Rattus norvegicus: one gene and its partners. The protein of the gene in region 2 interacts with the protein of the main gene of each other region in a biochemical or structural test. Links are inferred from orthologs where the notes say so. Each region holds a gene or a part of one and is shown on either strand. Other genes may lie near its edges.

Region 1 (4,219 bases), on a different chromosome or scaffold from region 2:
TTCAAGTGCAGCTTGGTCTACAGCTTGAGGTCCAGGACAGCTACACAGAGAAACCTAGTCTCCAAGCAAACAGGAGTATGGTGGGACACACCTGTAATCCAAACATCTGGGGAGTTCATTCGAGAGGAACTTGAATTCAGGACTAACCTGGACTACAAAGGCTGTGTCTTAATAAGAAAAAAAAAACTAATGGTAAATTCTGTTAATATATCTCCTACCACAATGGGGGAAAAGTTTATACTTTATTGGATTACTCTCCAGAAAGTAAATTCTGCTGGCACAGATCATTTTTACTCGTTACCAATTTGAAAAGAACACTCTTATTTATTTATTATTTATTTATTTATTTATTTATTTATTTAGAGATGGCTGATCTCAAACTCACTCCATACCTAAGGGGTGGCCTTGAACTTTTTTTTTTTTCAAGACAGAGCTTCTCTGTACAACACAGCCCTTGCTGTATTGGACTCACTTTGTAGGCCAGGCTGGCTTTTAAATCACAGAGACTGGCCTGCCTCTGCCTTCTGAATACTGGGGTTAAAGTACTACCATGCCAGACAGACTTCAACAACTTCTTCTTCTTTCTCCTTCTCCTCCTCTTCCTCCTCCTCCTTCTTTTCTTCTTCTTCCTCTTCCTCAGATTTATTTATTTTATCTGTATGAATATACTGTAGCTGTCTTCAGACACACCAGAAGAGGGCATCAGATCCCATTACAGATGGTTATAAACCACCAAGTGGTTGCTGGGAATCAAACTCAGGACCTTTGGAGAGGCAGTCAGTGCCATCTCTCCAGCCCAGCCTTTAACTTCTACTCTTCTTGCCTACTCCCTGCAGTTTACACCAGATCTAAGAAACAGAAACTTAAAAAAAAAAAAATTAAGTTTCACTATGTAACTTTGGCTGTCCTGGAATTCACTCTGTAGGCTAGACTGGCCTCGAACTCACAAGAGATCCGCCTGCCTAGCCTGGTGTCACAATGTCATAGATTGAAAACACAGCACTGTTGAGTTCTCAACAGATCCAGATCAAGGTGGGTAGCTGCAGAGTAAACGAGATAACGTCATTTTATTCCAAATCCCGACCCTAAAAATGAAGCTTTAAGAAGGGTTTTGTGGGTATCTGCATAAATGTGAAGTTAAGATTTATTATGGTGCATACGGGGCACTGTGAGAGACTCTGATATCTGAATAATGCAGCTAAACAAGGGAAAGGTAACACCTCCCGATTCCCGGGCGATGACGTCTGCTTGGCTCGGAAGGAAAAGAGGAAGGGGCAGGACGCTTTGCTGTGCATGCGCCCGCGGGTCGCTGGAGCAGCCGCTCTAGGCAGCAGGGAGGTCGCGCAGGGTTAAGAGCCTAAAGCGGTCTCTTCTCTATGGTTGCAGGAGCTGGTCAGAGTCGGTCCGCAGTCCTACGTTATTTCCGGAAACGAAGCCTGCCGCTTGTCCTCTACTTCCGCGGGGTCCTGGCGGGTGGCAGTGACGGAGTGGGTCCCAGGACTAGTGGCGAGGTGAGCTTCGGCACGGTGTGTGGTGGGTAATGAGGCGGCAGGGCGCTTGGCATGAGAGTTTGGCGCGGGAGACCGAACTGAACCCGCTCCCGGAGCGGCGCTGGCAGGGTGGGCCCAGACCCTCGGGCCTCCTCACCCTGGCCTGAGCACACCGGCAAGACTGCGGATCCCAGCTTGGCAGTTCCCCTTCCCTTCCGAGGCGAAGAGCCATTCCACCGCGGGTCTCTAGTCCTCGCCTTCCGGGTCTGGGTCAGAGCCCCTCGGAGGGTGACAGAGAAGGGGGTCTTGTTTCCACTCATTTAGGGGCTACGGGTGCCCGCCACGGCCGCTAGATCGAGGCACCTTCCTATCTCAAGGCAGAAGGTTCATAATGGGAAATAAGGATAACGGAACATCAGACTCCAAAGTGACACTGGGGCTTGTCTTCTCATTCCCATAGTCAAGACTCAGAAACCGTATGCTAAGGAGAGCGCGCGTGCGCGCGTGTGTGTTTAAAGACCGAGACGATGTGTCTAACTGGGGATCTTTAACTGGGCAAGGTGGGGGGCACCCATAACTTTGGTTGAGAAGAGAAAGTGGGAGCCTTATGCTCTCAACTGTCGCCGTTGGGTCCTCCCCACGGAATCCCATTGGTCCGTCCTTGGAGTGGCCCCAACGTCACACCAGGAGAGACCAATACGAAGGAGTTTTCCTCTCATCTTTAGGTACGGACTGCACGTGCCAATGAAGTTTTATTTTTGTCACTGCTATTTTATAAACAGCCTGGATGTATCCCGACCCAAGTGCTCGTTGTATGCCTGGGTATATCATCCATAAACCTGATAGGAAAACCGTACTCTCTCGGAGGCTGTTTAGACACACACACAACACACACACCCTTTTTCCCCTTTCCCTCTGGGGTTATAAATTCTAAGCACACTGTAGCCAGCATTTGGTAAAATGTGACTGTTAATAATGCTATTAATAACAGTCAGCAAACTTTTTACCTATCTGTGGACGCAGTTTGACATCTAATTTGACAACAATTCTTTAGCGTTGATATCAGTGCGGACTGATACACGGGAAAAAAACGAGGCTCAAAGAACAAGGGGTGACCAGATTGGGACCCCAGGTTAGCCTCACTCTGAAGACTTAACTTTGGGTTTTGGTCTTTTTGTTTGTTTATTTGTTTGGGTTTTGAGGGAGGGGGAGCCTGGGGTTGGTGGTTTTGTTGTTTGTTTGTTTTGTGTTTTTGTTTTTGTTTTGTGACAGGGTTTCTCTGTGTAGTCCTGGCTGTCTGATAACTCAGACCAGGCTGGCCAAGAATGCACAGAAATCCACCTGCCTGTGGAGGTTAAATGCCACCATGCCTTGGTTTGTTTTATTTGTTGAGAAAGGGTTTGTGTAGTCCAGGCTGGCCAAGAATAATTCTTGGACTTCTGATGTTCCTGGCTTTCTGAATTGAGTAACAGGAAATGGAGAAGGGAGAAAATGAAACTCTGAAGTGACACTGGGGCTAGAGTTTCCCTTTTCTGATTCCCAGCCCATGACTCAGAAATCTGAACTGGTGCAAAAGAGAGATTTTTCTGAGTGCTGATAGTAGGTGTTACCACCTATTATGCCCAGCTTATGCACTGCTAATGATAGGAGCAGTCAGCAAGCACTTTGCCAAACAGTCCAAGAGATTAGGGAACACAGAGAAACCTTACACAGTTAACTTGGGTTGGAGTGAATTAATTATCAAAGACCATCTGGATCTTGTTCGTGGATACTTTTAACTTAGAAATCTTAACAGACAGGAGTGTGATGATCCATATAAGATAGTTATTGACAACCATGTTGATTACGCCAATTAAAAATGTTAAGTACTTTTTATTGATGGCAAGACCAAAATGGGCTTGTGCCTCTAAAGACACAAACCTTCAAAGTTAGATGAGGATCAGAGTAACCTTAAACTTTCATTCCTGGCAGGGCAGAGTCTTAGATGTAACCTCAAATGGGTTGCCAAGACCGACATTGGGTTGGGGAAAGGGGAAAGACAAATTCAGTCAAAACAAGATGGCATTACCTTAGTCATTTCAAGAAGAGTATATGAAGATACACTCAAGGAACAGAAATGTGTACATGCTCTATGAACAGAGTCTAATCCTGGTAATAGAAGTTCTTGTGGAACCTATTGTTTGCTAGGAACTGTTCTGAGTTCTGATAAATGGTTATTATCCCCATTGTATAGGTGATATAAAGAAAGGTAAATGACTTACCTGAGATCAAGCAGCTAGTGGTTTATTGAGCTAAGATTTAACTTGATCATTCTGGCTCAAGAGACTGTGCTATAAGTGAGAATGTCAGTTTGGCAGCCACACATGATGGTGTCTCAGCATTAACAAGCCAACACCTGATGGCACAGGCTTTTAGTTATTGGGTAGACCAAGGCAGGAAGATTGCAAATTCAAAGCCTTAATTATGTGGACTGGGCTGAAGCTACTGCCTCTGTAGTAGAGTATATTTAGAGTGAACAAAGTCCTGGCTTCAGTTCCCAGCACTAGAAAAGTTAGTTTACTACTTCACCATGCATATTCTTCACTGAATAAAACCACAACTGCTTTATTTTGTTTTATTTTGTTGTAGTAGGGAGTGTTGTTTTGAGATGGTCTCATGCATCACTCTCTGGCTGGCAAGGGGTGACCTTGAAGTCCTAGTCCTTCACCACTCAGCTGCTGTGATTACAG
Region 2 (3,500 bases):
ATCACAATCAACAACCTGCATCTTACTATGGACCAATTCTCCAAAATTCAACTGTTTTCCATTGTATCAACAAATACTATTACAAACTAAGGGAGACTGGTCCCTTTTTTTTTTTTTTTTGGTTCTTTTTTTTCGGAGCTGGGGACCGAACCCAGGGCCTTGCGCTTCCTAGGTAAGCGCTCTACCACTGAGCTAAATCCCCAGCCTTTTTTTTTTTTTTTTAGATTTATTTAATCTATGTAAGTACAGTGTCACTCTTTTCAGCCTACCTCCAAGATTTAATCATTCCTTAAAACAACTGCATAAAATATACTTAAGTAACACTGGCATATGGCAGAAAGGGTCTACATACTCAAATTAAGAAGAACAGTTTAGGGGTTGGGGATTTAGCTCAGTGGTAGAGCGCTTGCCTAGGAAGCGCAAGGCCCTGGGTTCGGTCCCCAGCTCCGAAAAAAAGAACCAAAAAAAAAAAAAAAAAAAAAAAAAAAAGATTTATTTAATCTATGTAAGTACAGTGTCACTCTTTTCAGACACACCAGAAGAGGGGACCAGATCCCATTACAGATGGTTGTGAGCCACCATGTGGTTGCTGGGAATTGAACTCAGGACCTCTGGAAGAGCAGTCAGTGCTCCTAACCACTGAGCCATCTCTCCAGCCCTAGACTGGTCCTTTTAAAAAGGAAACAGGAGTTATTTAAAAAAAAAAAAAAAAAAGCCAGGACTGGAAAGAAGTTAAGCAGTTAAGAACAATGGCTGCTCATTTCCCAGTACCCATATGCTAGCTCACTCTAACTCTATAATTCAATTAACAGGTCACGCTCTTCTGGCCTCTGGGGGCAACACACACACACACATACACACACACACACACACACACAGAGCAAAGATATACATGCAGATATAATATACAAAAAATAATTAATTTAAAAAAAGATAATTTTAACAAGATAGACCAACAGAGACCTGTTTTAAAAAAAAAAAAAAAAGCAGTTACTTTTTCCTCTTTGAGACAGGGTCTCACTACACAGCCCTGGCACTTAGAAACCTGCCTGTCTCTGTCTCCCCAGTGCTGGTATCAACGGTGTACACATCTACACCCTGCATAAAAATCAGTTATTTCACCTTGATACCAAACAACTATTGCATTACCTTTTGAAATAGTTAGTGCTGGAGACCACTGTGACCGTAGAATATCAAGACAAATGCTGCCATTACTGTTAATATTTGGATGATAAATTCTTGTTGTAAATGCAACCTGAAGAAAAAGAAATCTTTGTGATTGGTTTACCAGTACCATACAGAGCATCTTAAGAGCAATGATCATATACTAATTACCTTAGGCGGTTTGAAGGGGTAATCTGTTGGGAAATGAATAGTCAAGAAAAATACTCCACCCTGATAGGGGCTGTCATTCTGTTGATAAGAGAGTGAGATTAAAAATGAATAAATTACATAAAACAATTATTAATTAAGGAATTAAAGTGAATACTTACTGGCCCCATTATTGTAGCCTGCCAATGAAACACTGAAAGAAAGAAAAAGTCACCATATTAATTAACAATATTTGCATTACACCTACACCGTAGAACCTCTCATTCCCAGTACCGAATCAAAGCTCATTTATAAATAGTTTATTTATAAATAGTATGATAACACCTAGTTTCTATGGGCAGGATGAAGATTAAACCATTAAAAATAAGAGACAGACAAGTCAGCAGGGTGTGGCAGTGCCTACCTTTAATCTGAAAGCCGCTGGAAGCAGAGGCAGGTAGATCTCTGAATTAGAGTCCAGCCAGAGTTTGAGTTCTAGTTACAGAGAAAGCCTATCTCTAAAGCCCCCCCAAACAACCACCAATACAAAAACAAAACAAAAGACAAAAAAATCCCCAAAACCCCAACAACAAACCCCACCAAAACCAAACAAAAAAATCAGACAGTTGGTTTTAAAATATTTGGAGGCGCTAGAGAGAGGCTCAGCTGGTTAAGTATGCACACTCTGAATCAGAGTAGCTTCTAACAACCTGTAATTCTAGCTCCAAAGGATCTAATGCCCTCTCCTGGTCTCCAAACAGAAGAACTCGTGTGTTAACATATGTTATACACATCATTACCACCAAACCACCAACAAAACTATAAAGATCCAGGGCATTTTTCTGAGGCCAGAAAGGTGGCTCAGTAAGAAAAGGTTTGCTATCAAGCCTGACATGTTTGATTCCCAGAGCAAGAGAAAATCTGCTCCCAAGCTGTTCTCTGGCTTCCAAATATGTCTTGTACATGTACACATACACACACATAAAGTAAATATAAAGTCTTTGGAACTAAGCATGGTGATATAGCATGCCTACAACAATGTTGACAAAGCTGAGGTACACAATGCTAAATTTAAATTTCTCTTTGGCTAAGTAAAGGGTGTGAGACCAACCTGGTCTATATAGTGAGTTCCAGGCGAGCCATGGCTACACAGTGATTCTGCCACAAAATTAACCTAACTAACCAACAAAAACTCATCTCAAAGTCATGCCTGGAAGATAAATCTGTTGACAAAGCCCATAGAAAGGCCCTACCTAGGTACTATTAAAACTTACTTATTTGCCTCCAAGACTGACTGACTGACTTTCTTCTCTGTCTCTCTCTATTTCTGAGACGGGGGTTTTCTATGTCCAGGAACTCACTCTATAGTACAGGCTGGCATTAAACTCACAGAGATCAGGGCTAGACAGATAGTTTAGTAGTTAAAAGCACTAGCTGTTCTTTCAGAGGTCCCAAGTACAGTTCTCAGCAACTACCCGGCATTTCACAATCACGAATGATGGGATCTGATACTCTCTTCTGATCCGTAGGCTTTCATGCTGACAGAGTCCTCATATACATTAAATAAATCTAAATGAAACAAACAAGCAAACAAACAAACAAACAAACAAAAAAATCCCAAACAACCCCCTTCCCCAAAACCCACAGAGATCTGCCTTCGGAGTGCTGGGATAAAGACATGCACCACCAAAACCAGCCTACCTCCAAGATTTAATCATTCCTTAAAACAACTGCATAAAATATACTTAAGTAACACTGGCATATGGCAGAAAGGGTCTACATACTCAAATTAAGAAGAACAGTTTAGGGGCTGGGGATTTAGCTCAGTGGTAGAACGCTTACCTAGGAAGCGCAAGGCCCGGGGTTCGGTCCCCAGCTCCGGGGGAAAAAAAAAAAAAAAGAACCAAAAAGAAGAACAGTTTAGGGGGCTGGGGATTTAGCTCAGTGGTAGAGCGCTTACCTAGGAAGCGCAAGGCCCTGGGTTCGATCCCCAGCTCCGAAAAAAAAGAACCAAAAAAAAAAAAAAAAAAGAAGAACAGTTTAGGGGTTGGGGATTTAGCTTAGGGGTTGGGGATTTAGCTTAGTGGTAGAGCGCTTGCCTAGCAAGCACAAGGCCCTGGGTTCGGTCCACAGCTCCGAAAAAAAGAAAAGGAAAAAAAAAAAAAAAAAAAAAAAAAAGAACAGTTTAG
Region 3 (3,500 bases), on a different chromosome or scaffold from region 2:
TTGAAAATCAGACTGCAGAGTCAGTACCACACCACTGGAGCTAGGAAAGGATAAAATAACTCACCTTTTTTCACAAAGGAAAAGAATAATCAGCATTAATTAGTCATATTCCCAATGTCCTAATGGAATGAAAGTGGGAGGGAGAGCTGTCCAGTCTTTTCTGTGATTTAAAATAAAACATACTTCAAACAGTGGCATACAATCCTCTGCTCTAAAATACAGACCGGAACAGGAAACTACCTTTGGAGTTTATCCATCTTAGGGCCACAGGGTGAGGGTGTAGCTCAGGGTAGAGCATCTGCCAAGTGCTAGGCCCTACATTCAGTCCTCAGCTCCAGGGAAACAAAAAACAAAAACAAAAACCTAGAGCTAAAGTAAACACATTAAAATGTTTTTTAATTTGCCAGATAATCTTTTAATGAGAATTATAAAAGACCAAAAACATTTTTTTGCAAACTGCCTTTTTTTAAAAACAAATGATTTACTTTAATTACAAATACTGTGTATGATGATGCACTCTTTTGCAAAACCAATAAATACAAGAACCAATTTAAACATGTGATTTGCCCAAGACATTTGAAGAGAGGAAAAGCCTGATTATTTTATAATTTATAGTGATCAGAGTTTACTCCCTAAGCTAACCTTTCAGAGAGTAAGCCTGACCTGACGGCGTAGGACAGCAGTCGGGAGGCGAGACCATCCTGTACTTGCTTCAGCCTCGACGAGCTGCTCTGCTCCCTTTCCTTTCTGGAATTCCTATTTCCACAGAAGGGCTGAATTAAAAATGTCTAATAAATTGATTGAAGGAAAAGAAAGTATGTACTGAACACAAACTTCTGACATTAAGCAATTATGGATATCAAAAAGACGCTAACTTAAAAGGTACAAAAGTGAGAAAAACCTGAATTACAGAAAAGAAAGTCAAATTTATTTAATGAAAAACTAGAATAAAAATTAGCAAATACACACACACCAAAAAACAAAACAAAAAACAAAACAAAAAACAACCCCACAGCAGCACTGTGTGTTGACTCACAAGGGGAAAGCGGTGGCCCATGACCACGCAGATGGCTTGTCAGTTAAAGGAAAACCAACCACACACGTGCACGCATGCGTGCACAGACACACACCCCCAAAAAATTGTCAACAATACAATCAATCTACAACAAACACAAAGTTCAGAAATATTTTACAATGTTTCCTTTCTTAATACAAAAGATGCCCATCTTGGGTATATATATTTTTCAGTGGTTTACTGTTGAATTATTTTTAAATATATTAGTGTTACTACATGCAACTGTTTCCTGTATTAACAGCTTTTCTTTTTATTTACCTTCATGTCTAGCTTCTACCTACCAGGAGAGGTTTAGGTTGGCAAGCAGATGGGTGCCTTATTCTCTGTGAAGTCAAATGCAAATTTTAAACACTGGCCAGAAATATTTGATTGCCGTTTCAACACATGGAAATAGTTACATTGATGCCTAAATTGCCATTTTCTGCAAAGAGCTGTGCAATGCTGGTGTCAAACACTAGGCAGTCACTATTCATGATGGCTGTTGCAATTCCCTCATGAATAGACCGAGGGGTGGCTTCCCAAGTCAATCGCCGCCTATGACCATTCAGCTCAAGTCGATATGCAAAATTTTCAGCTTGCTTGCGTGTTCCTATCAGCTGTACAATCGCAAAGAACTGCTGATGGCCATCGTATTTTTCTTGTTTCTCCAAGACTAACATGAAATGAAAGCCAAAACAAGACTGCATCATCACCCAGTCAACAGCACCAGGAAGGTTAATGTCTGTAGCAAGGAAAACTATATCTTCTCCTTGCAGGGTGGTAATGGACTTGTGCTGATGCATCAGGTGGGGCATGACAGCATCCAAGGAGCCTTGCCACTTACAGGAAGCACCAGGGCAGGGGCAGGAGTAAGGCCTGAACTCACAGAGCTCCTCGTGCTCTGCCTTTTCGGTGTGCGGCAGAGTTATCTCACATCCAGAAGAGGCATATTTACAAGGGAAGAGTACGGAGTTGGCCACTTTCTCCATAGCCAAGTTGCGAATGGATCCCAACGGGCCCCGGCAGGTGGGACAACATGTAAGTTTGGGGCGACAGTTGCTACAAACAAGATGGCCACTCTGACACTGAAGAATAGGTGGCAATACATAGTCAAAGCAGACAGGACACTCGAAAAGACTCGCCAAGTCATTGTTGGATGCAGTTGTGCCAGTCAAGGCAGGTACCCTCTGGGATGGTGGACACTTTGAGGTGCCGGTGGGTAATGCTGTAGCAGTCTGACGGCTCATCTCTGTAAAGGAAAACAAGAAAATAAAAGGAAGCAGGGGGAAAGTTACAAATATAACACATTAGTAGATATGTATGTATACATGTCATAAATACTTGTAAAGCATACCACAAAATTTATCGTGAATAAAAGAATAAAATTAAGTAAATATAGTTTTAAATCCATATACAAATAAAATAAAAATTGAACGCTAAAGGTTAATTTTCTGGAGTTATATAATGAGTAAACTGTATTTCCAAAATGTTCTCCAGCATGTTTAAAATACTTTTTTGTTCTTAAAGCAGTGGAAATCTCTGGGTGGACTACACAGAATAAGAATCGCACCAGGCATTGTGGCCACACCTTTAACCCTTGCACTGCAGACACACATACAGGTGGGGATCAGGGAGTTCGAGGTCAGCCTGGTCTGCATACATAGTTTCAGGCCAAGCAGGACTACATATGAAGACCTAATTTCAAAAAAGTTCCTAAACAATAAAGAACTACAAAACTGTCTTTGTCTTAAGAACTTAAATACAGCTGGGCAAGATGGCACAAGCCTTTAACTCCCAACATTTAGGAGGCAGAAGAAAAGGAAAGAAGGAAGAAGAAAAAAAAGGAAGGAGGAAGGAGGAGGAGGAAAGGATGAGGAAGAGGAGGAAGAGGAGGAAGAGGAGGGGAAGAGGAGGAATATAAATTAAATACAGGGCTGGAGACTGGAGAGATGGCCTAGCAGTTAAAAACACTGGTTGGTCTTCCGGAGGACCAGTGTTCAAATCCCACCACCCAAATGGCTGCTCATTAGAGGCAGCCAGGGCACTCAAACATATTATGAGCAGATAGACATGCAGGCAAAGCACCCATTCACATAAAATAAAAACAAATCTTTTTTAAAAGAAGAAAACCTTAAATTACAATATAAACTTTATTTGGGCTGGACTTTTTTCCCGAGTCTCCACCTCCATCTATTTTTTCTCAAGTCTGAGTTTGCTCATAGCTTCAGGACCTACTGCTTTAGTCCTATGAAGTTCATATGCCAAAGACCATTAGAGCCGGGTCAACTCTTCCCAGCATGAACAGCATCATCACTAGAACTGTGCTCTGGGAATGGGCTCAGAGGTCACAGGGGAAGGAAACCCTGCCATCCTGTTATCTGCCTGCAGACGTCTACTCAGTCTTTTATTAAGGCAGCCAGGTATCACTTCTGTCTCCCATCAGTCA
Region 4 (4,300 bases), on a different chromosome or scaffold from region 2:
GCACGTAGCACTCGCTTCTAGTCCTAGCTTGAGGACGAAGCAGGCAGACTGTTGTGAGTTCAGGCTAGGCTGGCCTGCATCTCTTTATCTCTTCAATTTAGACTCTGTCAATTTTCTTCCTGTTAGCCACTACTGCTATGACAAAACACCTCACATAACAACACCAGAGGGGAAAGGTTTAGTTTGGCTCATTCGGAAATTTACATTTATGGTTTTATGCAATTGTGAAAAGCCTTGGTAGAGCAGAGTTGCCCACTTCAACTGCAGTCAAGAAGCAAAGAAACACAGAGAGGAACCAGAACAACGTATACCTGTCAAAGGCATTTTCAGTGACCAGTGTTTCCTCCAGACAGGCCTCGCCTCCTAACAGCCCAGTTGGGATGAACTTATCAGTGGATTGATCCACTAATGAAATTAATGCTTTCCTAAGTAATGACAGCTTGAACAAAGCCTTCATCCCACACTACAATTTTTTAAAAATATTATTTAATGGATATGAGTACACCAGACACACCAGAATAGGGTATTACAGATGGTTGTGAGCCACCATGTGGTTGCTGGGAATTGAACTCAAGACCTCTGGAAGAGCAGTCAGTGCTCTTAACCACTGAGCCATTTCTCCAGCCCCCAGGAATCTTTTTTTGAGACAGGATCTTATTGTGTAGTCTTGGCTAAACTCCTGCTGAGCTTTTTTAAGTGCGTTTTTTCCCTGGTCAGTTATTTTTAAGAGGGTCTCACAAATTATCCCTGCCAGGCCTAGAATTTAGTGATCCTCTTGCTTCTATTTAGGCATTACTTTCTTTTTTCTTTTTTTTCTTTTTTTCTTTTTTCTTTTTTTTTTTTCGGAGCTGGGGACCGAACCCAGGGCCTTCCGCTTGCTAGGCAAGCGCTCTACCGCTGAGCTAAATCTCCAACCCCTAGGCATTACTTTCTTAACAAATATTTTCTTCCACTTTGTAGGCTCTTTTGACCTCTTGATATCTAATTTATCAATTGAACTTCTTTTTTTTTCTTTTCTTTTTTTTTGGAGCTGGGGACTGAACCCAGGGCCCACTGAGCTAAATCCCCAACCCTTGAACTTCTTTTAAGGGTAAGAATTTTCTGAGAGTTGGCTCAGTGGTTAAGGATGCCTACTCTTCTTTCAGGGTAAGCAGGTTTGGTTGGTTCCTAGTACTCCCATAGCAGCCTATAACGGTCTGCCCCTCAGTTCTAGGGATCTCGTGCCTCTTCTGCACTGCATGCACATGGTGCACATACACTCGCATACTCAATTAAATACATACTTAAAAGAGATCTCGGGGTTGGGGATTTAGCTCAGTGGTAGAGCGCTTGCCTAGGAAGCGCAAGGCCCTGGGTTCGGTCCCCAGCTCCAAAAGAAAAGAACCAAAAAAAAAAAAAAAAAAAAAAAAAAGAGATCTCAAGTTTTTCCTTCATGAGTATCTGCAGTTACTTAATTCTGCTACCTCCACAGATAGTTATTCTTAGGAAGGTAATAGTGATATTCTAAAGACGGGGGCTATTTAGTCATGGTTCATTGGCAGGCCACATCTGCCCTTACATTTCCTTTTCATAGTTTTATGGAAGCACAGGCTCTGCCTTCAATTACAAAGGGCAATGTAAATTAATGTATTGTCTACGGTGGCAGATATCACGGTCCTCAGTAGACTATACAGTCCACAAAATACTATTCTGCCCTTTACAGAAAAGGTTGCCAACCCTCACTAATTCTAAGAATAAAGCGCAGGTGTGTTCTCGAGTTGCTACAACTCCACTATGTGTGAGGCTAAGGCTAGCCCAAGCTACATAGTAATAAAACCTTGTCTCAAAACATGTCTAAAAAATGTTACCCAAAAAAAAAAAAAAAAAAAGCCCTAAATTCACAGTAGATGAACACAAGTTGACCATTATTACATGTGATAAAGTCTGTCCTTGACTTTAACGTCTGTGTGGGCAAGGCCTACAAAACCACAAATCCTCACGATTCAGACTACTTAGCCTTCTTTTTCTTTTCTTTTCTTTTTTTAATTAGAAAATGATGATTCGGGCTGGGGAGGTGGCTCAGTGGTTAAGAGCACTGACTGCTCTTCCAGAGGTCCTGAGTTCAATTCCCAGCAACCACATGGTGGCTCACAGCTACGGTATACTCATACACATTAAATAAATAATATTAAAAAAAGGCGGGGGGGGGGGGGTTTGGGGATTTAGCTCAGTGGTAGAGCGCTTGCCTAGCAAGCACAAGGCCCTAGGTTCGAAAAAAAGAAAGAAAGAAAAAAAAAAAAAAAAGAAAAGATGATGGTTCTAGCAGTGCGGTGGGGTCGAGTACATTTAATCCCATCACGCAGGAGGCAGACATAGGTAGATTTCTGAGTTCGGGGCTAGCTAGGGCTACACTGAGGAACCCTGTCTCGAGAAACAAAAATGGTTCCCTTTCTAAAAGATTTTGGATTTTACCCAATAAACATGTTTAATCTTACTTACCGATTTCCTTTGATTCTTGTCCAGAGATTCTAAGCTTGCATTCCTTTGCATAGTGCTTTTGAATAATCTCCCACAGGTCTGTATTGACCAGAGAATTTCTTCGGGTATGGTACCGAGTCCACGAAGAGACCCGGCGGCGACAGAAGGGACAGCATAAATTGGCCTTTTCAACAGTCGATTGGAAGCATGGGTTACAGAGCGTGTGGTTGCAAGGTAGGGTAACAGGCTCTACGAGGATTTCCATGCAGATCCCGCACTGACATTCCGCTAAGGAAGGGATGGAGTTTTTAGGTGCAGCCATCTTCATATGCTAATGTGGCCTACCCAACGTCAACAGCTGAAAGGAACAAAAGTCGTCTTTCGGCTAAGCACATAAAGTATGAAGAAAATCAGGAGCCTTCTGGCGTTTATTCTCACATACAGCAGCGTACTGAAATCCAGACGGCCTGAGTTTCCACAGGCCCGAGGCGAACAGGAGCTGTGATGTCAGGTAAACAGTTATGCCCTGCGTCCAGCAAGGGAATGAAAGAACGTTCCTCCCGGAGCGCGGAGGCCTCGGGGCGGAGAGGGGTTCTAGCTCCCCGCGCCACAGAAGGTCGCATCCAGCTCCCCTTCTTACTTAGTGGAGGACCCGCCTCTTTGCGCGAGGCCGCCGAGCCGGCCAGCACCGGAAGCCCGGAGACCGCCGCTCCAAGATCACCCGGAAACCGGGCTCGGGCCGCCGCTGGACTTCCGTGTCGCAGTTGCAGTGGAGGCAGCCCTCCAGTGCCCACGCTCCAGCTTCTGGCCGCCTCGCGGTTCCCCCGGGTCTCAAGACCCAGCGGCTCAGACTCGCTGTCAAGCCAGTCGATCTATTAGGCGCGGCCCGAGTAGGTACACAGGCGCTACAAATGTCACAACTCCCGCCAAAACTGTCTTCCTCCAAGGAACCGCCCATTTGGGCGGGACTTCCGGGAGCTGCTGTGCACTCGCGCTTGGCCTGCCAGTAGCAACTCCTCCCGCCTTTGGTGGTTCAGCCACTGTAGGTTGTAGAAATTTTGTTATTCGCTGGCTAAAAAGTAACTCTCTAAACCAAGATACAAACAATAATTTTTGTAATTATTCTTTTAGTATTTTTCGGGCTACCCTTCTGTTTTTCTCCCAACCAAGCTTTCTAAAGTTCTTAGTGCTAAAAGAAGAAATTGCAACAAATTTACTGTAAAGATTTTTGTTAGCATTTATTTGCAACACTAGCATTTTATAGAATGTGCTTTATGACAAGCAGATATTGGCTTTATAGACATGTGACGTTCAAGGAAAACAGCAACAAAAAGTTACACTGGAGGCTTCAAAGAATCTTGGAGGGTGGGGGGTAGGGGAGGGCTTTGGAGAAATGGCTCAATGGTTAAGGTCACCTACTGTTCTTCCAGAGGTCCTGAGTTCAAATCCCAGCAACCATATGGTGGCTCATAACCATCTGTAATGAGATCTAATGTCCTCTTCTGGTGTGTCTGAAGATAGCTACAGTGTACTTATATATAATAAATAAATCTTTAAAAAAAAGAATACTTGTTAAAGGTTAAAGTGGGGGTGATAATATCTTTATGGTACTGGCTAAAGCTCAGCAGTTTAGAGATTGGCTGTTATTGCTTCCCTCCTGGTTTTGGGGGTGTTTAGCTTTGGTCCTATACCCCAGACTTTAACATGAGTAAATGCCTATTGGGTTTGGTATGTTGAGTCTGAAGAGCTCAACAAAGAGACACATTTCTGTAATCTCAGCATTTGGGAAAGTAGCCACTAAAGAATTATTATAAACCAGCCTTTGCTACATAACTGGTTCCAG
Region 5 (2,835 bases), on a different chromosome or scaffold from region 2:
AAGATTATCAACAATGATATCCTAAGGGTGGGAGGGCAGATGGGAGCCTGATCCAGCTCCAGAGACCTCACCCCTCTGACCTTTATAGGCTCCTGCGCTCTAATGCACACATACACAGATGCCCACATATACCCATAATTTAAAATTAATAAAAACAATAGTTTTAAAAAAAGAATAATCCTGAGGGCTTCTCAGTAGTTAAGAGGCCTAGCTGCTTTTCTAGAAGAGCCAGATTCAGTTCTTAGCCCTCAGTGGCTCACAAACATCTTTAACTCCAGGTCTCGAGGATTCAGTACTCTATTCTGGTCTCAGTGGGCATCAGGCACATATGTAGTGCATGTAAATGCATGCAAGCAACATACCCATGTGCATAAAATAGAAAAATAAGCTGGGTGTGCTGATAGTGGGTGGTGCATGCCTGTAACCCCAGCATTAGAGAGGCAGAGGCAGGTGAATCTAAGTTCAAGGCCAGGCTAGTCTACAGAGTGAGCTCCAGGAAAACCAAAGCTACATAGTGAGACCTCACCTCAATAAACTAATTAATATAAAGATTAATAAAATAAAAATAAATAAAAATAAAAAAGGGAAACTAGAGCATCAATCCTGGCTCGGCAGGAGGCAGCAGCAGAATACAGGCTCTGGGAGATTGGGCCTTGTGAAGCTCAAAGCCGGGGTACAGGGAGCCCAGGACAGCAACGGACAACACTAAGGTGAGAGCGGGTGGACTACACAGGGCAGCAGCCTAATTGTCTCTAAGATCCGAGAGGCAGGAAGTAGGACCAGATACAAGGGGCTGGCCAGTGATGAGGGTGACTAGATCTTGGGTGATGAGGGCACCCTCTCAGGAGTCCCAAGTCTACCCAGCTGAGATATAACAAGAGGAAGGGGAGCTACACCCTGGGGCTCTTTGACGTTGCTAATATGTGAGCTTGGGCCAGGGTAGGGGGTATAGTAAGGCCTCGATCTCCAGTGTTCATAGTGGAGTGTCTGCAGCAAAACTCCAGCAAAAGAAACAGCAAGTACCACACGATACTGCCCCGGCTGTAAAGCCACATCTGGACATTTCAGTGGCAGAGTGTCGTGTCCCCCCCCCCCCCCCCCCCTCCCGGAGCTGGGGACCGAACCCAGGGCCTTGTGCTTGCTAGGCAAGCACTCTACCACTGAGCTAAATCCCCAACCCCTTACATCTGGACATTTCAAACAGCAACTAAACATGATCTGGTTAGGTCTCCCCAGGGCCAGGGCTTTCCTTTTACGGCTCTGGTTAGTGCCAGTGCTTTCCTGAGATGCTGCAGGGATCTGTGCCAGACCAAGAACCACAGTTCTCCCCAGACTAATCACACGCCAGGAACAACTATGACACTGAAAACCAGCAGTCCTGAGTTGGGCTTAGGAAAGTCCCTGTGCCAGGAAACAGTGTGGGCTGGAGGAGCAGGGAGCAGGTGCAGGCCCAGGGACACAGGGTGTACTCACTGCTGTCCTGGACAAGGAGGTGTCTTCTTTCCAATTAGGAAAAAGACAGAGGGGACCGCTGGAGGCAGAGGACAAATCTTGGCCTGGCTAATTATAGCAGCTCTTGGTACTTACAGGTAGTGGCTTTTCCTGCCTCCTAGCCCTTGGGAGAGGAGGGTGCCACACAGACCAGCAAGGACACCAGCTCTCCCCTTGATACCTCCAAGCCAGGCCTACCCACTGGCTCCTACCATCTGAACTGCTCACACAGAGTTGAACCTTGAGCAATTCCCTTCTGTTCTGCCTTTGCTATGACTGAGCCTTCAGGTCAGCATAGTAGATGCCTGACCCCTACCAGAGAGCAAAGAGTATACAAGCCATCCCATAACCTGAGGACTAGATGACTGGTGAAGGGGATCTATCCATCAGATGTGGGATCTGGCAGAGTTGCTCCTGCCAGGCCCTTGTACCTTTTGTGATAGATGCACAGGCAAGGCAGCCTGGCTATCGTGTCCCCCTGAAGCAGCTCCTCCAGGCAGATCACACACTCACCCGCATCTTTAGTCAGCACATCATCTGCAAGAGAGATGGGGATACCAACAGAGTTAATCACCAGCATGTGGGGGGCACAGAGCACACAGGTCTATGAGCTACTTACAGACCTAAACCACTATGTGTCTGGAACGCACGGTATGTACGGAACACAGCAATGGGAGAAACATGCAGATAACTAGAAGAGCCTTCTGACTGGGGTACCAGGGGCATGGACAAAGTGCTTATTCAGACTGCTCACCAGAGGCTTGGGGGAACTTCAGGAAGTCTGCTAAGACAGGTCGCAAAGAGACCCAAGGAGTCACCGGCGGGGATGGAACCAAGTCCCCAGGAGCAGATTCAGGCTGTGCTGTGGAACCTCAGGCTCCTTTGCTTAGCTAAGGGGCAGTAGAGGTAGAGAAGGAGCGCTCACTTGGAGGCCAACTCTGACCATGCAGCAACAGCACATGTGCTAGCCAGGGCAGGGCGTAGGCATGTGTACGTCTTTAAGACACGCCACAGGAAAAGGCAACGCTAGAGAGGGGTGAGACCCAGAGTGTCTATCAGGTGTCTCCATAGGGACAAACCAATGGGAACTTCCACATGTGGAGACTTTCCCTTCAGTCTAGATGTAGGGACAGCATGCACAGACAGTAGAATAAAGAGACTGTTCCAGGACAAAGTTTAGACTAAACTGCAATGAAGCCACAGGCAGGGACTGTGATGCCCTGACCCCGAGTCACCATGAAGTTCCCTGAGCATAGCAGAACATCCAGTGAGCACTAATGAGATTCTGTGTGTGCTTTTCTGAGCTGAAGGATCTTACAAGCTAGCAGGGCACATGGTCACAAT
Region 6 (3,500 bases), on a different chromosome or scaffold from region 2:
GACACATCTACATGGTTTCTAAGTTTGGTGTGACTACTGAAGTTCATTTGAAGTATCCAACTGATCCTTGCTGTCCCCTCTCTCTTGAATGTTTGTTCTCCCTCCCCCTCCCCCTCTCTCATGCCCTCCTTCCCTCTATCCCTCCCTCCTTTTCTTTCTCTTCCCCCCCCAACTTTCCCCCCCTCCCTTCCCCCATCCCCCTCTCTTTTGAGATGGGGATCTTACTCTGTAATGTGGCCTGACCTCAAATTCTCAGTTCAGTCCTAGACCTGTCTCAGATTCCTGAGGTGGGTATAAGGCTGGAGAAATGACTCACTGTTCTTACAGAACACCCACATAGTGCCTCACACTGGCTATAACTATAGTTCCAATGACCTGATGCTCTTTTCTGACCTTCTTAGGCACCAGGTTCACATACACATTAAACAAAAATAAATTACTTTTTGGGGAAGGGGGGTAGCTATGGGTGGTAGCACATGCCTTTAATCCCAGGCAGGCATATCTATCTATGAGTTTGATGCTAGCCTGGTCTACAAAGAGAGTTCTAAAACAGCCAGGCTGTTACACAGAGAAACCCTGTCTTGGAAAAACCAAGGCGGTAGTGGAGGTGGAAGGGGGTGAAAAGTGCATGCAGCTTGTCATTTCCATTTTGCTCTAACCACATCAAACAATTCATCATTTTGCTACAACTTGGAGCTGAGTCCTCTGTAATTAAAAGAAAAAAAAACAAACAAACAAACAGGGAGAGGGCTTAGAGATTAAGAGCAGAGAGCCCTGGTTTAATTTCCAGCACCCACATGGCACTTCAGAACTGTCTGTAACTCCACTTCCAGGGGACCCAACACCTTCACACAAACATACATGCAAGCAAAACACCAATTCAAATGTACACACTGGGGGGTGTGTGTGTGTCTGTCTGGAGAGGTAGCTCACAGGTAAAAGTACCAAGCCTGACAACCTAAATTCAGTACCCCAACACATGTAGTAAAAGTAAAGAACTGACTGCTATAGTATAGTTGTCTGCTATACTTCTATATGTTCTGTATGTGCCCACACACAAATATACACAAATATAATTTTTAAAGATATTTAAAACCATAATGAAGTTGAGCAGTGGTAGTGTATGCCTTTAACCCCAGCACTCGGGAAGCATGTAGGTCTGAGTTCAAGGTCAGTAGCTCTACAGATGGAAATGCTGGACAGTTGGGGCTATACAGAGAAACCCTGTCTCAAAAAATCAAAAATACATATATACATACATACATACATACATACATACATACATACATACATACAGTAACAAAAAAGGCAAGTGTCTAGAGAAGTGGCCCAGTGGTTAAGAGCCCATACTGGTCTTGTAGAGGACCCAAGCACCCATGTCCAGCAGCTTACAACCACTTGTAACCTCAGCTCAAGGGGTATCCAAACACCCCTAGGTACTGGGTGACGCCCTTACATGACAGACACACATACATGTACATACACAGAATTTAAGATAAGTACTTTTTATAAGAAAAAATATTTTTGAGAAAAGAAGCTTCGAGAATAACTGGTGGGCTCCAGGCTATGCCAGAGTCCTCTAACCATATCCTGTGCTCTGTCTTCTAGGAGCTATACCCTGCATTTTGCATTCACAATGGAGGCTCTGACCTTGAGCGGCTACCTACAGCCAGCACCTGCATGAACCTGCTGAAGCTCCCAGAGTTTTATGATGAAGCCCTGCTGCGAAGCAAGCTGCTGTATGCCATCGAGTGTGCTGCTGGCTTTGAGTTGAGCTGAGCTGAATTGAGCCCAGGGAACTTGATCTGACCCAAAGGCAGCCAGCACCTACCAGACCCAAGAGAGCACTCAGGCGGGACCCTCGGCTCTCCTCAGGCCTTCTATCTGGCATCCCTCCCTTTCTGATTTTTTTTAAGATGGTTTTATTGTGACACAGTCACATACATAGATGGACATTTGCTTTTCACATAACCTAGCTATTGTTATGTGCTATGTGGCTGGTTTAGTAATTTTGCCAAGAAGAGCACAGGTTTTAGAATAGTGGCAACTCAATGAAATTAACCAAAGATGAAGCTCTGGCTTTGCTGATCTGGTTTATATCCCCTCCTGGGTCAGGCACCAGTATCTGTAGACAGAATCTGGGGCTGATACACAGAGCCCCGAGCCACTGCTTCTCATGTGGTTGATTGTTTACAAGCCTAATTGTAAAACTGAAGGTATTTTTTCCTGCTGCCTTTTCCCAAAGTGGTTAGGTTTGGAAAATGGATAACTCTAGTATTATTTTATTTGTGCTTTTTAAGCCATGTCCCCCACCCAGGTGGGAATCGCATGCTTGTCTTCAGACTCCTACTGACCTGCATCATGAGGTTTGGACATGGCTGTGTGGGTGAGAGGTGACTGCTGTCCTCATTGCTCTTTCCTTGTCTCTGCTTTGTGCCTGGGAAGCTTTCCAGGAGGCAGAGAAGGAGCATCCCTATACTTCCTGAGGTACTGTGTCACCTGTAGTGAGTTGGCAACTGGGGGATGTGGGCACTGCAGCTTTTATTAAAGTCATTTGAACCAAAGTGGCAGGCTGCGTCTCTCCGTGATCCACATGCTCTCCTGGCCTAACAGTGCTGCCCATCATCTTGCGCATCTTGGGGGGATTCATCCAGGCCTCAGCACCTTTGTTTTCTGCCGCTGTTTTAATAAGAAGACAGCATCCCTGGCATCTGTCAGGGAAGAGCATCAGGCCAGGTGATTCTCATTTAGGCACTTTATCAGGGTCCAGCTTGTTGCCAGTTGACCTCAGCTTCTGCAAACAGGAATCAGGGAAGCATCTGGGAGGCTAGCATGCAAGGATCATGGAGCTGGTGAGGACTCCAGACTGCTTCTCATCCAAGTCCAGCATCGTGCCTAGAGGCTCGGTAACCAGAATTAGCAATATGCTTTTAAATGTGGGAAAACTGAATGACACTTTTAAGACAATGACAATTATCAGACAAAATGTATAATTTCTTAATTTGAATAATAAAGTATTTAAATGCTATTTGTAGTCCTGACACATAGGAAGAAATAGCATTTATCCTTGATTTTGTTTTTTGTTTGGGGATATTTATATTGAATGTCCTACATCTTTTTATTAGTTAATTTGTGTATTAGTATTTTAGAATTGACGTATCTGAGACTGAAGATAAATTGGCAGTTTGTTTTTTTTCTGCTGGCTCTTCTGAGCTTATTTATTTGTACGTCCTAATGGATGAATATCTACATTAAATCTTTTCCCCAAGATTGTGTTGGAGTGCTGCCCCAGGTCAATGGCCAGTTGTGTTCTGCTGTAGTCAACTTACTTTCCCAGGTCACATATATCTGCAATGTAGGAAGCCACACATCCTGTGATACCTTGAATTCAGCCATTTGGGATCAGTATCGTCTCTGGAATACTCACCAGGAATAAGGTGCTCAGGCACTCAATGGGTCTTATATTAAATTACTGAGAAAAAAAATAAATCTTCCTAAAG
Region 7 (4,219 bases), on a different chromosome or scaffold from region 2:
GCTTGCCAACTTGTGACTTCTGATTCACATGCCCACTTAGCCATAGGCTCTGAAGCCCAGGATATGTCATGCAACTTACCTATTAACTTCCCACCTTATGGAATCAAGAGCAACATTTACATTGTGAGCTTTATGGAGAGAATGTACACTAGTCAGCACTCAGTGGAGTTCACTCTGTTTATAGACAGAGGCTGACTAGTGCTTGACCACCAAACAAGCAGTAAAACACCTGATTCCAAGGCTAACTGAACCTGCTCCATCATGTGTTTCCAGAAGTGATCTGTGTGGATATCACAGTCAAGTGTTCTGCCCTCAGCTCCAGTCTGATTTTAACTAGGAAATTGCCTCCTGTAATGTAGCTAGGTTTGGAGTTGATAAAGACAATGCTACCTTTCTGTTCCTGAGACCAAAATACACAAAGGAGGGTATTCAGAGCAGTCTCCTTCAGTCTAGCACTGTCCTTGGGCCAGAGTCTTCTTATCTCAGCTTCGTAGCTCCAAACTCCTTGCACTATCTCCCCACTGGTTCTGGTCTAAGAGCAAAGCAAGAACAAAGTCCAGGGCTTCTGCTGATCAAGAAAAGTCACCCCACTTTTGAATATGGGGCAAGCCTCCTTTTCATTAGGAAAGTCTGAAAAGGGAGGACCAAGACGACTGCAGCAAAGAAGCAAGAGGGGAGATTCTGTGGTGGCAATTTACACGGCAGTTTACTTCTGCCAGTTTTGGTGATGTGGCTTTACACAAGTGATCTCCTAAGCCTTAGTTTCATGTGTCACACTGGACATAGAAAGTATATTTAGAAGGACTGCCATGAGAAGAAAGTACACATAGATCTTTGAGAGTAGTAAATTCTTAACACTTACTAGGCACTAGACAGTAAGTACCCCGATTTATTTCACTGAGTCCGTACAGCAATCCTAGGATGCAGGTCTCTGAAGAGCTTGTGCATTGAGAGGTCAAACTTGTGCATTGAGAGGTCAAATAAGTCTTAAGATTTCAAAGCAGGAAGAGAAAAAGCCAGGATTTGGACCCAGAATTCTTGACTCTCTTGCTAGGTCCCTCATTTGTGGCATGATTGGCATTTCTGGCTAGGTGACAGTTTATTGTGGGGGTTGTTCACTAGAAATCAGTAGACCCCCACAACCCCTCAATTATGACAACTGACAATGCCTCCATCCAGACATGGTCAAATGTTTCCTGGCAGAACAAAACCACCCTATCTGAGAACTATGGTTTTAGGTAATGATACAGTCTAAATACTCAGTACATGTGAGGCTCTCCCTTGCTCCAACCCTGTTTTGTTTCTCGCCCAATTCTAATACTTCATTCATAGAATCACTGCCTCTTTGTGCTATAATAGACCTTCTATAAAATGATGTCAGATCTAAGATAATTTTGGCTTATACCTTTGAGGGCTTAGGGGTACAGAGAAAGGGATAAGTAGCAAAGCCCCTAGGTAGTTTATTGTTCTTCCCCAAGGCCTATAATGTTGAGTCTGTGGTGGGGAAGTTGGGGTGGTCAGAGTGGATTTAGTGAGAATACCTGTCTGCCTCAGGATTAAAGGGCCTTTAGTTAGCAAGTGAGGAAGACTCTGCCCTTCAGAGAATGTCAAACTCTCCTTCAGGATTTCTGAAGACCAGTGTCTTTATTTCCAAACCCCTACATTCTCCTAAATTCCATTCATTCATGCATAGTTTATTTATAAATTACTTTCAGGTCCCTGGGTCTTCAGAACACCCTCTGGGTTCAATTATGCAGAAATCAAGAAACAAAACAAACAAACAAACAAACACCTCCTTTAGTGGTCTCAGAAATTTCACCTGGTTTTGAATTGTACAATCTAGTTACAACATTCACTCCCCACCATTCAATCCTTTACAAACCCCATTCTCAACAATAAATCCCAAATCTAGAATTCAACCTCTTAGACTGTGTATGTTGCAACCCTGCAACTCACCAATAGCTCTTATGTGTCCCACATCCCTCTGGTACATCCTTTCATCTATTTTCAAACTCCCTACATCCTTTCATCTATTTTCAAACTTCCACTCCTATCACCCACGTATGGCAGCTCCAAACTCCAATCCTGTACCTTAGACTCTGCCTCCTTCAACCTTTTCCCTCATCTGCATTCCCCATCTTGTACTGTGCCACCTCCAACCTCCCCACCCCCGCCCCCGTCCTGCCTCACGTGTTGCCTTCAAACCTTTGCTGCGATTTGCTAACTGGGTACTGATTCCCTTGGGAACTCACCCCTCAATCTTTCCCAGATTCCGCTACAGAAATCCCTTTCTCTTCAGCATTTAGGATCTTCCAAGACTCTGGCTGTTTTGATCTCGGATCTTGCTACCATTACACCGATCTCCTCAAAGCCCTTAAGATTCTGCCCGCCAACACCCAATCTCATCCAGGCCTGCCAAATTCCTTTCTGCTTCTGATAGTATGCACCCAGATACCTCCAGGCACTTCAGGTCCTCGCATCTTACACATGCTGCACCCCGTCTCTCCGCATGGCCCCCACATTACCTCATACCTCTCTCCCGACATGCTGCAACTGCAAATTTCCTCAGCCCCTTTGCTCCCCTCCCCCAGCTGCATCTCAGCCCCGCCGAATCGCTCCTGAGCCCGTCCCTCCCCAACCCGGTCCTGCCACTCAGATCCAGTCCCCAAATTCTGCCATTCAATCTTGGAGCCCCGCGACCCACCACAGTCCCTGATCGCAGACCCTCCTTCCCGCCCCCTACCTGACCGCCCGCGGCTCCGACGCGAGTCCACCGCTGCCAGCCCACCCGCCCGCTGCCTCCTGCGCATGCGCTAGCGCGTACATCCCACGGCAATAGCCAATTTGTAGAATCGCCTGTCTGTCAACTTGCCCCGCCTCCCGAGGCATGCTGGGGCTTGTAGGCCCACGGCCCAGCGCCTGCGGCCCAGCTAAATGGGTAGGGATGGCTTCAGAAACCTAGGCCATTGCAGCGTGTGATCCAGCTTTCTGCGCTATTTCAGAGTCTAAACAGGGTTAGTCAATGCTAATCCCTCAGTAGTAGTCTCCAGAAAGTTCTGGCACCTTACAGAGAGACGCCTCTTTTAATCTTATGTAGGGAAGACGAGCACACTCCCTTCAAAGAGCAGCAGGTCCCCAGGCTAGGTCTTTCTGCCTGTGACACATCCCATAGTGGAGTCACAGAATACACAGCACTTAGGAAAGAGGTTTTCTTTGCCTCACAGCATGGAGGCGGATAGCAAAGGGAGAAAACAAGGAAAAGCCTGCATTCAGTCTTATCAGATGGTCAGTTCTGTGGCCCAGTGACTGGTCAGGTCCTGATGGGGACTGGTAATACCTGCTCTTGAACCTGATGAACACACAGTACTAGTTGGGAATATGAAGGAATCTGAAATACTAGGCTCTCATATTTGAAATTCCACCAAGCTGAGTACCCTCTGCACTGATGATAAGACAACAAACAAAACCAGTAATATCTTTAAACACTTGCCTACAAACTACAGACTTTGGGTAAAGAAACTGAGACCTAGGGGTCAAAGACCAAAGTAACCAGTTTCTACCTGCCAGAACCTGGATTTAATTTCTGAGAAGCATTCTTAACCTTGTTTTATTTTTCCGTTTCTTTATCTCGAAATAAAATTATGGGTTGTTTTGATGAATTACTAGAACTCAGAAAGATGGGAAAAGCAAATTTACCCCCCCCCCATCCCCAACTTGTCCAAGGTTCTATATCCACAGGACATCAGTTTAGATGGAACTCTGAACCAGGCTAGTCATTCTCCAACTGGACTCTCTTCTGGGCGATGCAGGAGTTCTCACACAATTTTACCCTGAGTACAGTGTTGTTATCTCAGATAATTCTAGAGCCCTGAGCCAATCCAGCCACCCAGAACTCCCAAGACCTGCTCAGAGAACATGTGACTCGAAGTTCTCTGAAGAAATTTTATCTGTGCTGGCAATCCTATGGACTGACCAAATGCCTAGAACTTCAAATGTGAAAGGATAGAAACCTGGTATACACACTTAATCAAGTTTATCTTGAGCTATCTTTAGTTCTCTGAATGGGCACTTATTACCAACCTTTGACTCTGACTTGCGATTATTAGGTAAAACTGTTGGAATGTATCCTTAAAGTGGAAGACCACTAGCTTCCAATAGTTCTAAAGCTGAGAATGTTATAACATCTGGAAAAGATACAAGAAATTTCCCTAGCTTGCTG

What was found.
Region 1: the proteins of Ube2d2 (region 2) and Bfar form a complex in vitro, tested with the Homo sapiens proteins (2 studies listed by BioGRID, with this or other methods). The link is inferred for Rattus norvegicus from reciprocal best matches to the Homo sapiens genes UBE2D2 and BFAR.
Region 3: the proteins of Ube2d2 (region 2) and Siah1 form a complex in vitro, tested with the Homo sapiens proteins (3 studies listed by BioGRID). The link is inferred for Rattus norvegicus from reciprocal best matches to the Homo sapiens genes UBE2D2 and SIAH1.
Region 4: the proteins of Ube2d2 (region 2) and Rnf168 form a complex in vitro, tested with the Homo sapiens proteins (3 studies listed by BioGRID). The link is inferred for Rattus norvegicus from reciprocal best matches to the Homo sapiens genes UBE2D2 and RNF168.
Region 5: the proteins of Ube2d2 (region 2) and Znrf1 form a complex in vitro, tested with the Homo sapiens proteins (2 studies listed by BioGRID). The link is inferred for Rattus norvegicus from reciprocal best matches to the Homo sapiens genes UBE2D2 and ZNRF1.
Region 6: the proteins of Ube2d2 (region 2) and Ube3c form a complex in vitro, tested with the Homo sapiens proteins (4 studies listed by BioGRID). The link is inferred for Rattus norvegicus from reciprocal best matches to the Homo sapiens genes UBE2D2 and UBE3C.
Region 7: the proteins of Ube2d2 (region 2) and Trim32 form a complex in vitro, tested with the Homo sapiens proteins (2 studies listed by BioGRID). The link is inferred for Rattus norvegicus from reciprocal best matches to the Homo sapiens genes UBE2D2 and TRIM32.

The regions. Positions count from the first base shown.
Region 1 is NC_086028.1:2,057,822-2,062,040, forward strand, and holds the start of Bfar (bifunctional apoptosis regulator), read left to right. Parts: upstream 1-1,419; 5' UTR 1,420-1,511; intron 1,512-4,219. UniProt on the Homo sapiens protein: Membrane-bound E3 ubiquitin ligase that plays a role in several processes including apoptosis regulation or reticulum endoplasmic stress. Has anti-apoptotic activity, both for apoptosis triggered via death-receptors and via mitochondrial factors.
Region 2 is NC_086036.1:27,669,399-27,672,898, reverse strand, and holds part of Ube2d2 (ubiquitin-conjugating enzyme E2 D2), read right to left. Parts: intron 1,526-3,500; coding exon 1,494-1,525; intron 1,414-1,493; coding exon 1,336-1,413; intron 1,256-1,335; coding exon 1,150-1,255; intron 1-1,149.
Region 3 is NC_086037.1:36,572,665-36,576,164, reverse strand, and holds the end of Siah1 (E3 ubiquitin-protein ligase SIAH1), read right to left. Parts: intron 2,304-3,500; 5' UTR 2,302-2,303; coding exon 1,453-2,301; 3' UTR 392-1,452; downstream 1-391. UniProt on the Homo sapiens protein: E3 ubiquitin-protein ligase that mediates ubiquitination and subsequent proteasomal degradation of target proteins.
Region 4 is NC_086029.1:82,010,507-82,014,806, forward strand, and holds the start of Rnf168 (E3 ubiquitin-protein ligase RNF168), read right to left. Parts: upstream 2,801-4,300; 5' UTR 2,786-2,800; coding exon 2,479-2,785; intron 1-2,478. UniProt on the Homo sapiens protein: E3 ubiquitin-protein ligase required for accumulation of repair proteins to sites of DNA damage. Acts with UBE2N/UBC13 to amplify the RNF8-dependent histone ubiquitination.
Region 5 is NC_086037.1:56,485,728-56,488,562, reverse strand, and holds part of Znrf1 (E3 ubiquitin-protein ligase ZNRF1), read right to left. Parts: intron 2,029-2,835; coding exon 1,923-2,028; intron 1-1,922. UniProt on the Homo sapiens protein: E3 ubiquitin-protein ligase that plays a role in different processes including cell differentiation, receptor recycling or regulation of inflammation. Mediates the ubiquitination of AKT1 and GLUL, thereby playing a role in neuron cells differentiation.
Region 6 is NC_086022.1:6,323,846-6,327,345, reverse strand, and holds part of Ube3c (ubiquitin protein ligase E3C), read left to right. Parts: intron 1-1,608; coding exon 1,609-1,779; 3' UTR 1,780-3,500. UniProt on the Homo sapiens protein: E3 ubiquitin-protein ligase that specifically catalyzes 'Lys-29'- and 'Lys-48'-linked polyubiquitin chains.
Region 7 is NC_086023.1:84,019,213-84,023,431, reverse strand, and holds the start of Trim32 (E3 ubiquitin-protein ligase TRIM32), read right to left. Parts: upstream 2,801-4,219; 5' UTR 2,744-2,800; intron 1-2,743. UniProt on the Homo sapiens protein: E3 ubiquitin ligase that plays a role in various biological processes including neural stem cell differentiation, innate immunity, inflammatory resonse and autophagy.